Linked DNA regions of Kluyveromyces lactis. The protein of the gene in region 2 interacts with the protein of the main gene of each other region in a pairwise test. Links are inferred from orthologs where the notes say so. Each region holds a gene or a part of one and is shown on either strand. Other genes may lie near its edges.

Region 1 (5,421 bases), on a different chromosome or scaffold from region 2:
CTACTCCATTCTCCTTGAGTGGTAAGAAGAATTTAGACTTGGCATCCGTGGCAAATAACATTTCTGAGCTAGACTTTTTCAAGACGTTGAATATTATCATCGATTCTAGAGGTAAGAAAAACACTGACCACACAGAACAAATTAAAACCACCGAAGAACTATTGAAGATTGCCAAGACTCCATATGAAAAGATCTGTACATACTTGAACTTGATTCCAATCAGATTCGATGCATCTGTATCCTTATCATACCAACCACTAGAACAATGGAAAGCATCAAAGGATAACTTGGATGGTTTATTGGAAGTGCTGGAACAAGAGATCGACCACTATCAAGTTACTGAATTTGCCCCAAGAAATGATTTCATTGAAGATGAACCAGAAGCTAATGAGCATGGTGTCAAGGAAATTTTGGGTTCTATCTTCTCTATGGTTGAAAGATTGGACGATGAATTTAGCAAATCCCTTTTGAACATTGACACTCGTTCCAGTGAATACATGGAACGTTTGAGAGATGAACAATCTATTTACAATTTGATTATCAGATCCCAATTGTACTTTGAACGTGTAACTGCAGAAGAACACCGCGATAGACTTTTGGCCCGTGTCTTCAACAGAAGACTTGAACATATCTACTACAAGTCCGACAAGCTCATCTCTATTATGGAAACCGTTGCATGGAAACAAATTCGTGAAGGAACTGCGTCCCTTGAATCCTCTTTCGTTCGTTTGAATGAATCAGATTCCGCAGATGCCGATTACAACTTCAAGGTCATCTCTGAATTGTCCGATTTCTTAATTAAACAAAAGAGTAACAACGTGTTCAACTACAGAAAAGGTACCTTGTACAAAACATATTATATTGCATTGAACCAAGAATACGCTCCAGCAAAGAAAATAATGCTTTCTTCCGATATTGCTAAATTCATTTCAGGCTCTGATGCAGCATTACAAATTTTGTACAATAGATGTGTTATTCAACTTGGTTTGGCTGCATTTAAGGCTGGTTTAATAAATGAATGTCACCAAGTTTTGAACGGTCTTTGTATTAATCCACATCTAAGAGAAATTTTGGGTCAACAAAGTTTACAAAGAGCTAATGCGAACAGCAATGTCGTGCAGGGTGCCCCTGTTGAACAATTATGTCTTCCTTTCCATCAACACATCAACTTGGATCTAATTGACACCGTCTACATGACATGTTCTTTATTACTTGATGTGCCTCACATGGCAGCTTATTACAGCGGTATTAAGGTCAAGAGAATCCCAGTTTTCCAAAAATCTATCCGCCGTATTCTAGAGAGTTCAGAGAAAGCTATTTTCCATGGTCCTCCAGAAACTCTAAGAGATCACATTCTTTATGCTGCAAAGTCAATGCAAAAGGGTGATTACTTACAATCGATCGAATATTTGAGGAAAATTTCTGTGTGGTCTTTGTTGAGTAAATCTGATGATATCATCAACCAACTAAGTGAAAAGGTTCAAATTGAAACTTTGAAAACTTACATTTTCACTTACAAGAGATTCTACTCTAAAATATCCATTTCTAAATTATCGAAATTGTTTGATCTTGATATCGAAAAGGTTTTGGCTGTAGCACAAAACATCATCAATGATTACGAAGTTAAAGCCAAATTGGATGAAAATAACGAATACATTATCTTCGAAAGAGGCGAAGAAATCACAAAGTTAGAAGAAGTTGCCATCAAGTTAGTTAAAGAAACCAAGTACCACTCTGAACGTTTACGCCAGTAAACATTTTCATTCTTCGTTCAGCAGATAAGGTCAGTTTCTAATTGTAGCACTCACCTTCCATACACATAACAAAATTTGCTCTTCCTTCTTTTGTTCACTTACCGTGCGCATATTAATAGACAGAGTCGTTGGCAAAGAACCTTTGTTTTAGCATTTGCAATAAATACTAGTATTTGTACATTATCGATAATATATAACATAGTTCTCACTGTAGGCAATTACGTAGTTTTTGAAATCAATTAATTGAATTTTGGAGACATATAACATCTCGAACATTGACTCGTAACAATACAGTTTATGCGCTGGTTCATTCTATATATATATGTATATGATACACATTTATGGACAAATGTATGTTATCAGTTGGAATAAACCACTTACCTTGCTAGTTATACATGGTTAGAGGAATATCATCCCATATTTATTTATATTATCGGTTAATGAACGTCTGACGAACTGGAATAATTTTCAGTTCCTTTTTACTATAACTTTTCAATGATTTTGAATTAACTATGTAATTGATGGTAATGTAATGTAAACAGTCTAACCTAAGATAAAACAATAAAACTTAACGTCTCTTGGCAATCTTACCTTTAGCAGCAGCCTTTTTCTTTGCATCCTTTGCCTTTTTAGCAGCGGTTGCTAGCTCTTCCTTAGTTTTCGGTTGAATTTTGAAGAATGAGTCAAGTCTTTTCTGTACGCCGACTTTCAAACCCTTGCGTAATCTTTCAATACCTGATTTAATTCTGTCTTCATTGAACCCTTTTTCTTTAACCATAAATTCAATCAATTCCTCGGCTTTAGGTTCCTCCCATTTCAACGTCACTTCCTCACTTGGAATAACATCTGGTTGCATGAATAAATCACGCGCTTCTTTGAATTGCCAACCTTCAGGGATTTTCCATCTGCCACTACTGATGTCTCCATTTTCGAATTTCTCTACGATGGCTTCCAGGGAACCGTGTTCTTTAATCAATTTCAATGCATTGACAGGGCCTACACCCTTGATTCCTTCACAATAATCACACCCTAGAATGATACCTAAATCAATGAATTGCGTCTGAGTCAAGTCCAAAGTGTTGTAAATCACATCAGTGTCAAATTCTTGGATTGGAAGTTTTCTGGCCTCACTGAAAGTCAAATGTCTCAATAAAACTGGCGTTTGATAGCATAATGTATCCATATCTTCACTGGCAGCTGCAAACACTTTCCCTGATTTAGCAAGCTCTGCACATTGCGCCTCAGCTTCTGCAGGTGCCACAACGTAAGGAATACCCATAAGAGATAACAACTTCTGAGCTTCCTCATTATGCCATGGCAAAACTTTCACGAGTCTTCTTTCATGTTTGATAATTTCTGCCTGTTCCGTGGCTTCTTTCAACTTAGCCTCGGTATCCTCACGTCTCACCTTACGTTTATCCAATTCGTATTTCTTAAGTTCTGGTGGACTTCCATCGAACACATAACATGGTTTTATTCCATGATCAATCATGCGCAACGTACGGTAGAACATACCCATAAGATGCGACGTCGTTTCTCCATCTTCACCAGCGAGCTGAACCCCATCCTGCTGTCTCACAGCAATGAGAAATTGATAAAGAGACATCGAGGCATCGATGGCTACTTTTCTTCCATGGAAATACTTTATATCTCTGCTCTTAATAGCATTCGGTACTTGCTCAGAAATAAGTGTAGCTAAATTTTTGATACCCATGATAACTGGTTTGAAAAAAATACCGGCCTTTTTTACAGAGGCTGTAGTTGTTCAATTATATTCAGAAGTTTGAGGTATACTACCACTTTATTAAAGCTGACAAGACGCGTCCCTTGCTGATGGCCTGTAATTTTTCACTATCCATTATACGTCTCAATGGACGCTGGAGCGAAAAAGCAGAGAGAAGAAAATAATGATAATAATTATAATATATCACGTGACACTCATTTCATAATCACTATCACGTGCAACCATTTATCATTCTTCACTGAAATATGTGTTACCCGGAATCAGCGTACTAATATCCAGGGTAACCTCACCAACGCCTTCAAGTGGGTCAGTCCACATGGAAAAAAAATGAAAAAAAAAAAAATATAACAACGAACGAACAGGATTTGAGATGAAAGTGTCAACAATCACGAAAGGGAAGCCGGCAGGCCCAAGGATTTAGGCGAAAGGTTCATTGTTTCGTCGATTGGTATAAACGAAATAATACCGTAAGAACGTACCTATTCTGTGAAGGCACGGCGGCTAAGTGAGATAGGGCAGAGAGTAAACGGAGCGAGTGCAGTGCACTGGGTGACGAAGAGGATTATTTAAAAGATAACAGAGAGCTTCAGAAAAGGTATACCTTTTTGTGCGTGAATTGGCGAGTTTCGAATCCAGCGATGTCGTTATATGAATACAAGCACCCGATCATCAATAAGGATCTGGCTGCGCCAGATCCTGTGAGTGCGCAGAAACGGTCTTTCCCCACGTTAGAGGCGTGGTACGATGTAATTAACGATTATGAGTTTCAATCGAGATGTCCTATTATTTTGAAGAATTCACATAAGAATAAACATTTCACTTTCGCGTGCCATTTGAAAAGTTGTCCGTTCAAGATTTTGTTGTCGTATCAGGGCGCCAACAATTCTGGTTCGTCTGAGGATGGTTCTCCGCATGGTTTAAGTGGCGATGGTGGTTCTTCGTCGTCTGGTTCGAATCACCATAATGGTCATACGAATTTGGCCGAAGATGGTAGAGCGGAGGATGAGGACGATGATGAGGATGATGATGCGGCTGTGACTGCTGCTATCGCAGCGGCAGTTGCAGCAGTTGCAGACTCTCAGGAGACTATCAAGGGTCCCTTCGTGGTAACCAAGATTGAACCTTATCATAACCATCCGTTGGAATCAAACCTTTCTTTGCAACGGTTTGTCTTGAGTAAAATTCCAAAGATTTTACAAGTTGATCTCAAATTCGACGCTATTCTAGAGTCGTTGTGTAACGATGACGATAATACAGTGGCAAAGTTTAGAGTGGCACAGTACGTGGAAGAATCCGGGATTCTCGATATCATCAAGCAACGGTACGGGTTGACCGAAGCTGAAATGGATAAGAAAATGTTAAGTAACATCGCTAGACGTGTTACCACGTATAAGGCCAGATTCGTCTTGAAAAGAAAGAAGGATGGCGTATACGCAATGCCCACCGCTCATCAATTGACTGGCGGTGACCACCATCAAGTACAACACCATCATCATCCATCGATACCAGCTCACCACCAACACCAACTACCCGAAGGTCAACAACGCGACGTTCAGCATCATCACCAACAGCAACAGCAACAACTACAACACCAGGAACAACACCAATCACATGTTGATAGTGGACATAATGTATATCAGAACAGAATTGGTTCGATCAGTGATAATGATGATTCCGCTATACATAATCTGGATGACACTAACGTACGTGTCGCAGCTGCTGCAGCTGCCGCTGCAGCGGCTCTGCAGTCTAGAGAAAACCACGATACCGAGGATCTGAAACGTACGCTAGAACAAGTGCAAGACGATGAAAGTTTAGACGTCGGTGTACCCGATTCCAAGAGACAGCTCCACAGAAGAGAAAGAGACAGAGTCGCGGAAGCTCTTAAAATGGCTACCAGAGATATCCTGTCAAATCAAAGTG
Region 2 (6,743 bases):
ATATATATATATATATATGTATATAATATCTGTATGTGATGGTCATCTAGAACAAAGCAGTCACCTGGACATATGGATCAAATGGCTAGATCTTTCGTAGGGGAAGAATTCAAGTTGATCACATCTTTGTTATCCAATTGTTTCTAGCCACGTGATCTACGAAGGGTTTCAGTGGATGAATCTTAGATATGCATTTCCAGGAACAAATGATGATCAGCTTCTTCTTCGCCCTGCTCACAGCCACGTTAATTCTTCTTAAATCTCGTAGTAGCACACCGCTGGCCTGGTCCGGATTACTTCTCACCATGGATATTATTATACAGTCTTTATCTCTTCCTTGGAATTGATCTGCGGTTAACACATCAATGTCTAGATCTTCCAATGTCGTCTTCAATAACGACATCTGCGCCTTGTACATAGACATCACACCAATTTGGTCCACCTCGATACCATGTGCAAGTAACTCTCGCACCACTTCATTGACGACGTTGGCTTCGCCAACGTTGCTTAGCTGGCCATGATCATTCTGTTCAACGAACTGCTGGTTACTTGTTGACTGGAAGCCATCATGATCCAATATCACCACAGGTTGTTCGGGATTGATAGCCTTCTGCAGCCATGTGTCCTGTGAGCATTTATAGTTGTTTGGGAATTGTAAGACTTGTCTGCGGATTTCGTCAGTACCACATTGTAACTTTCCTCCGTATATCAACACGTTGGAAAGAGACATGATCTCTGCATTCATACGGTATTGTAATTGTAGTTCAACAACGCTTTGAGGATGCGAATGACACAATTTTTCGAATAACGATTCTTGTAGACCATTGTCACGTGCAAATGAGTTCTTCACTAATGGCGGTAATTGATAATGGTCTCCGACTAATATGAACTTATATCCGAACCTTAATGGACCAATGGCGACAGGTAGCGAAACTTGACTGGCTTCATCTAATATAACATAATCAAAATCACCATTTCGCATTTGTAACCACGGATCATTAATACCGAGACACGTTACACCGACCACTTGTGCTGCATCGATTATTTCCGACAAGTTCTCGTTATCACCATCTAACATCTCTGTTATGCAATATGGTTTGACCAAATCATGGACTCGACGTCCAGATCCCAAACGTACCATCTTAGAGCGAGGGATACGCGAAGTTAGCTTCATTATAATATTATCGACAGCTGAATTGGTGTAGCTTGTCACCATGACAGATTTTCCCTGATTTACCAATATTGAAACTAATTCACAAATAACTGATGTCTTACCAGTTCCAGGCATTCCTAAAATCAAGTTGTAGTCACGGCAGGTGAGCGAACGTTCAATCGCCATTTTCTGGTTTTCATTAAAGCTGTCATTAAGAGTTGGTATTCTGGCCGCATGAGTCGTCCATTTCGGTTCGGAAAGCTCTACAATGAGCCTACGACCCCTGCTGTAACCCCCAAGAGATCTTTTAACAGGAAGCTGTAATTTTTCTCCAGATTTTTGCGGTGAGAATTCAGCTTCAATAAGGACTTCTGGAAGAAAGAGATTTAGAAGGTTGTAACGAGCCAAAGTAAGTCCTGTAGCACTCTCATTTTTATCAATACGATATCGGTGACTATTTGTCAAGCTTTGTTTCTCGTTCAATGGCTCTTTTTGTTTAAGTAAAACACTTCGAACTACTTGTCTCGTATTTCTATCAAAAGAATCACCATGAATATTGTTTGCCAGAATGTTTCTCGCACAATTTATCACAATGAAATCGTTAGCGATTTCAGAGACATGACCAGTTCCAATGGCTAACTGGCCAGAGGTGTCGTTACTGATCATTATATAATCTCCTTTATGGATATCTGACGAGAGCATGCTAGGTGGAGCGCTCTTGAGTTTCTTGGTCTCCTGTTGTTCTGCATTGGAAGTGGCAAATGACCCTTGAATATCGTTTTCGCGGCAGAAAGTGTACAGATATCTCCCGTTTCCCTGATCCTGTACATTCTTTATGGTAAGCTGACTTATGCAATGTCCTGTTTGAGCCTCTCGATCTGTGCCCGACATAAGGAAAGTATCTTTAGTGACACTTGTTATGCTAGTTTCTTCCATCATTAAAAGCCTATCGTACTTGCCGTAAAACGACCGAAAGAGCTCTAGGACCTGTGAGCCTTGTGCTTCAAGATGTCTGGTTAAATCAGTATATTCATGCTTTAGCAATCCTGGCGTTTGTTCTTTGTCACTTAACTTGTTGAGCACCATGCAAGATGTCTTCATGAAACATTGATCGCACTTGGAGTTCTGTATCATTGCGGGTAATTCATGTTGTGGTCCACCCCAATCAGACATCTCTTCATTCATTACTTGTAGGTATGTCGCAAGTTTATTTCTGAGGTTAAGCAGATGCTTTAGCGATATTAAAATTTTGGGTTGTAATGAGAACTCTCTTAGCTTAGTATACAACATCATGTGCAAATTTACAGGGATGTCATATCTATCCTGGAGAAGCAATGTATAAATTAGACCCTGTGCCTCGTGTGCATTAGATTTCCATTTCCCTGTCTTTATCTCCACGGGAGCTAACAACTTTTTACCGTCTGAATCAACATTCGTCTCAACAGTGACATCTATATATCCTTTCAATCCATACTTTGATGACCAAATGTTCTCTTCAATATCAACGATCTGAGAAACAGATAATTTACGTTTATTTTTTGTTCCAATTACTTGAATCCAGGACCTTGAATTGTCCTTAGTGACATAAATGTTCACAAATTCTATGATAAAAGGTAAATGCTCATCTGAAATCGTTTTAATCACTGATTCGACAGATTCTCCACACATATTCACCTCCGTAGTGAATGGTTTTATGACTTTGTCCAGAATTTCGAGAGCTAAGCCTTTTGAGAGAAACTGATTCGGCTCCAACAGCTTCAATTTTAACACTTCCTGGACCAACGCGTGAATAATGTTACCTAAGACAGCTGCAAGCGAGTATTCACCGGGTTCATTAAATTTTGAAGATAAAACGGCACGCCTTTCGCAATCCATGGCAGTCCCAATTGCAGTGGCAGAAAGAAGAACATCCGGATACACGATCAATAAATTATCATTTTCGAGGCCTGTTTTAGGGTCTTTGTCATTTGAAAGAAGCCGTTTATTAGGAAAGTGGTCACCTTCTATTAGGTGAATAATCATTCCTTGCTCGTATCTGAAACGAATCCATGGATCTCTGAGAATTAGGTTAACTTTTCCAGCATCCTGATTGAAGCATGTGAGAATTATTTGCGCTGGTGATTTCATTTCCTTGATTTCAAAAATACATAGTCTTTGACAGCCGCGTTGAGGGAATGGGAATTTAGCCAAGTTAACATACCTTTCAACCACATCGGCTTTGTTATTAAGCAGATGATCGGTTTGATTTTCATTTGATTTTACAGAGTCTTCCACATTTTCATCCTCTGATTCAAGCATAACTTCAATGCGTTCAATTTTTCTCACTTGAAGTTGAGGGAGTGTAGCTGGCTTTTCCTCATCAAGAAGTTCTAATAAGGAAGCATCTGATTCCTCTGATTCTTCATTGCATTCTGTGATGACTGGCTTTGTGAATCTTTGTGTGAGAATATCAATTAACGAATCGTCCTCATCCTCGTCGTCATCTATATTGATCTGAGGAGGATACATTGTGAACGTGCGTTCTATGCCATTAGTTGTAGTATGCTTATGATTTGAAATACTCTCTGATGCCAGCTCCGGAAGATTTTCTACAGGGTCATCGTCTATAACAACTGGTTCCGAGCAAATTGGTGAAGAAGGCGGAAGCAACTTAGGACCTTCTAAGTCGTTTAAAATTTCGTGTATATCTCTCATAGGTGTGACATCCTTTTCTCCTCTTTTTACAGGAGATCCTTGTGCAATTTTCCTGCATTCTTTATCAATGCTGTTGGGATCCATGTTCTCAAAATCAATCACATCTTTAAACTTATCGTTGATCAATGGAGTAGAAGATTGACCTAGAGGCATATCTTGACTTAATTCATCGGAGTTATTATCGTCGTTTCCAGTATTATAATGGTTACATAATTGCTCATCAATTTTCCTAGGAGAGTATCTCCATATTACTTCTTCCGACGGACCATCGCTATACCTCGTTTCTGGCACAGCTTCAGTCGATTTTTCCCTTCTAGTCTTTGTGCTATTGATAATTCTTTTAGATGCAAGCTTTGTTTTGCCACTAGTTTTCGCATTGACAGTATCTTTGACGGAACTTCCAGCTTCCACATTTCGTACTCTTGAGATCGGTATCGATTTCAAAATTGGTTCTTCACTGCTAAGCCGGTTCAGGGGGGCAAAATGGTAAGATTTACTTGGTTTCTTTTTAGGTTTCCCTTTATAATCCACTGAAATAGCATCCGTATCCTTCTTAAATGGCGATATAGAAACACTGGCGGTACGTTTTTTCTTTGGGGTAGAAACCATCGTGTTTCCAGTAAAGAATTCAAAGCCTTATTGCTATTGAGTTTGTACAACAGTATGCTTCTTTTTCTGCTTCTTGAATCCCCACCATTTGGGTTACCACCAATTCACTAATCCTAAAGTTGACTGATTGGCAGTTGGGCTTTTCTCTCTTCGCGTTTGAAGATATTCAAATAGTTCTTCTTATTCGCGATATATTTATGTGTATTGTTTTAATATTTACGTTTTTTAGAGATCAACATTTTCTGATTCCAAACCAAAACATTGCGCATGGCAAAAGGCAATCGCAGGGCTAGGGTACGACTTACATTGGATGTATAGAACCGACACTTTGGTCCTCTCACAAATATTGATGCATTTTCGTGCATTCCTTTATAAATTATATTGTTTGATAAACGTCATGATAATGAACGGAAACGGTGAGTTGATACGTCAGAATTTTACGTACGAACGCGTTAGTATTAAGTATTAGGTTGAGTTCTTTTCGTTAAATTGAGGGATTGATACGGGGTAAAGTGATCTGGTGTAGACTTCTTTAATTTAATGACACTGTCCTGTATGATTGTGGATGGTTCTACTAGGCCGTTACTAGCTTGATTGAGATTGAGTTGATAAGTTTTAGAGTTCGCCATACTGATATGTTGATCCGGACTTTGTAGACGTTTCGGCAGTTCGTTTTCATCATTGACTATATGTTCGTCGTGGTTGCTTTTATCCATAAAAGAATCTCCCAATTCGATGAAATCATCGTTCATTCCTGGAGCGAACTCATCTCGTAACCCAATTGTGGAATAGAAACTTTCAATATCTGAAATCAGTAAATCTTTCTTCTTTTTGAGAGACGCTTCCAGTTCTTTGCTAAACTTCGGTACTCTTTTGTTTGCTGCAGCCTTTAGCTTCAGTAAATTTAGCCTCGTCTTCATGAGTATACGGGATGTCTGCTCATATAATGCCATTCCAAGCTTTTCTTCATTCATTTCTGATGCAATTGAATCGATTGCCGTTAGTTCCCGTTCCTCTGGCAGTGCGAACGACCTATTTTTAGTATTAGAAACATTTGGTGCAGAGGTACTTTGATTAAATTCTGTGGCTTCGGTTTCATTTTGTGATAGCTTTGGTGTCTCTTGCTTTTCAATAGAATTTTGGAAAGCAGTTGGCTTTGTAAGTAAATTCTCTTTAACTGCTATTTTCACATCATTCTCTTCATTTGACGATATGTCACCAGAGTCAATATTAACGGGTAGTCTAAGGGCATTATACATTTTTGATAGAAAGTTGTAATTTGATTTGGAGCCTTTTTGTACTTTGTCAAACGAGTAACCTAATCTCGTTAGTTCCATAATGTACTTAGCTGCGTTCATTTCATGACCAGACATTGGGAGAAATTTAGAAGATTTATCAGAGTTAGATGTTTGATTCGCGTTAGTAGAAGTTGCAGCTATCATATGATCCGTTTTTTTAGGACCTGCTGCGTTGGGCCTGTTATATTTCGGTCCAGAGTTACCTGGTTTAAATCTCAATGGATTCTTTCTTTGTGGTCGTGTTGCTGCAGAGACATTTCTCTTGGTAGTTGTTCGCGCCATTATTATTTCACGGCTTCCTTTATTGAAAGTAACTAGTTTCTTCCAATATGCACCAATAATCACTTTGGTTAAACTGTTTGTTTAACCGTCTCCATCGGAGAGTCGATGTGCAATATCTTCAAGGGACGAAGTTCCTTGTCTACTTTTTAAATATTCAGTATTACCTCTCAGAGAGAAGTCACGTGAAAGTTTGGAAGTCAGATGGAACAAGCACATTATGACTACTTCACTTTTATGATAATATGAAAATCGTAGAGCCTAAAACGCCATTCCAAACCGTCTTATACGGTTGATGTAAGGGCAAATGCAGGTCAGATGCCTAATATAAATGTAAAATGGTTTTAAAAAAATATATAACAATTATAGAGAAATTATCTGTATTCTCCTTCGCTTAAGCGAATAGATTTTCTTGATCCGGTTCTAATTCCTCATCTCCAGCAAGTTCAGAGAATTGTATGAAGTGAGGAGCACGATGGAGTTCATTATAGAACTCTAGTGGGATGTCTAATTTCAATTCGTAAGGTAGATCTTCGCTAAAAGCAGTTCCCATGAAAGCGTAATTCCATATCGATGACGAAGGTACCAAGAAATTGCCCATAATGCGTTCAGATAATAAAATCTGTGCAGTCTCGCTAAATGAAGCTTCAAACCCTTCTGGTGAAGGGTCCGTTATGTCTTTCGATTGTAAGCCCCAGTTGAAACCCGTA

The links. The genes of interacting proteins can lie anywhere in the genome.
Region 1: the proteins of DNA2 (region 2) and RAD27 interact in binary tests that used the Saccharomyces cerevisiae proteins (3 or more experiments, as listed by UniProt). The link is inferred for Kluyveromyces lactis from reciprocal best matches to the Saccharomyces cerevisiae genes DNA2 and RAD27.

The regions. Positions count from the first base shown.
Region 1 is NC_006042.1:276,488-281,908, reverse strand, and holds RAD27 (multifunctional nuclease RAD27), read right to left. Parts: upstream 3,469-5,421; coding exon 2,323-3,468; downstream 1-2,322. Other genes in the region: NIP1 (translation initiation factor eIF3 core subunit c), read left to right, coding at 1-1,754; DNA-binding protein ABF1, read left to right, coding at 4,137-5,421. UniProt on the Saccharomyces cerevisiae protein: Structure-specific nuclease with 5'-flap endonuclease and 5'-3' exonuclease activities involved in DNA replication and repair.
Region 2 is NC_006037.1:476,050-482,792, reverse strand, and holds DNA2 (bifunctional ATP-dependent DNA helicase/ssDNA endodeoxyribonuclease DNA2), read right to left. Parts: upstream 4,457-6,743; coding exon 119-4,456; downstream 1-118. Other genes in the region: KLLA0_A05302g (uncharacterized protein), read right to left, coding at 4,915-6,036; U4/U6-U5 snRNP complex subunit PRP8, read right to left, coding at 6,428-6,743. UniProt on the Saccharomyces cerevisiae protein: Key enzyme involved in DNA replication and DNA repair.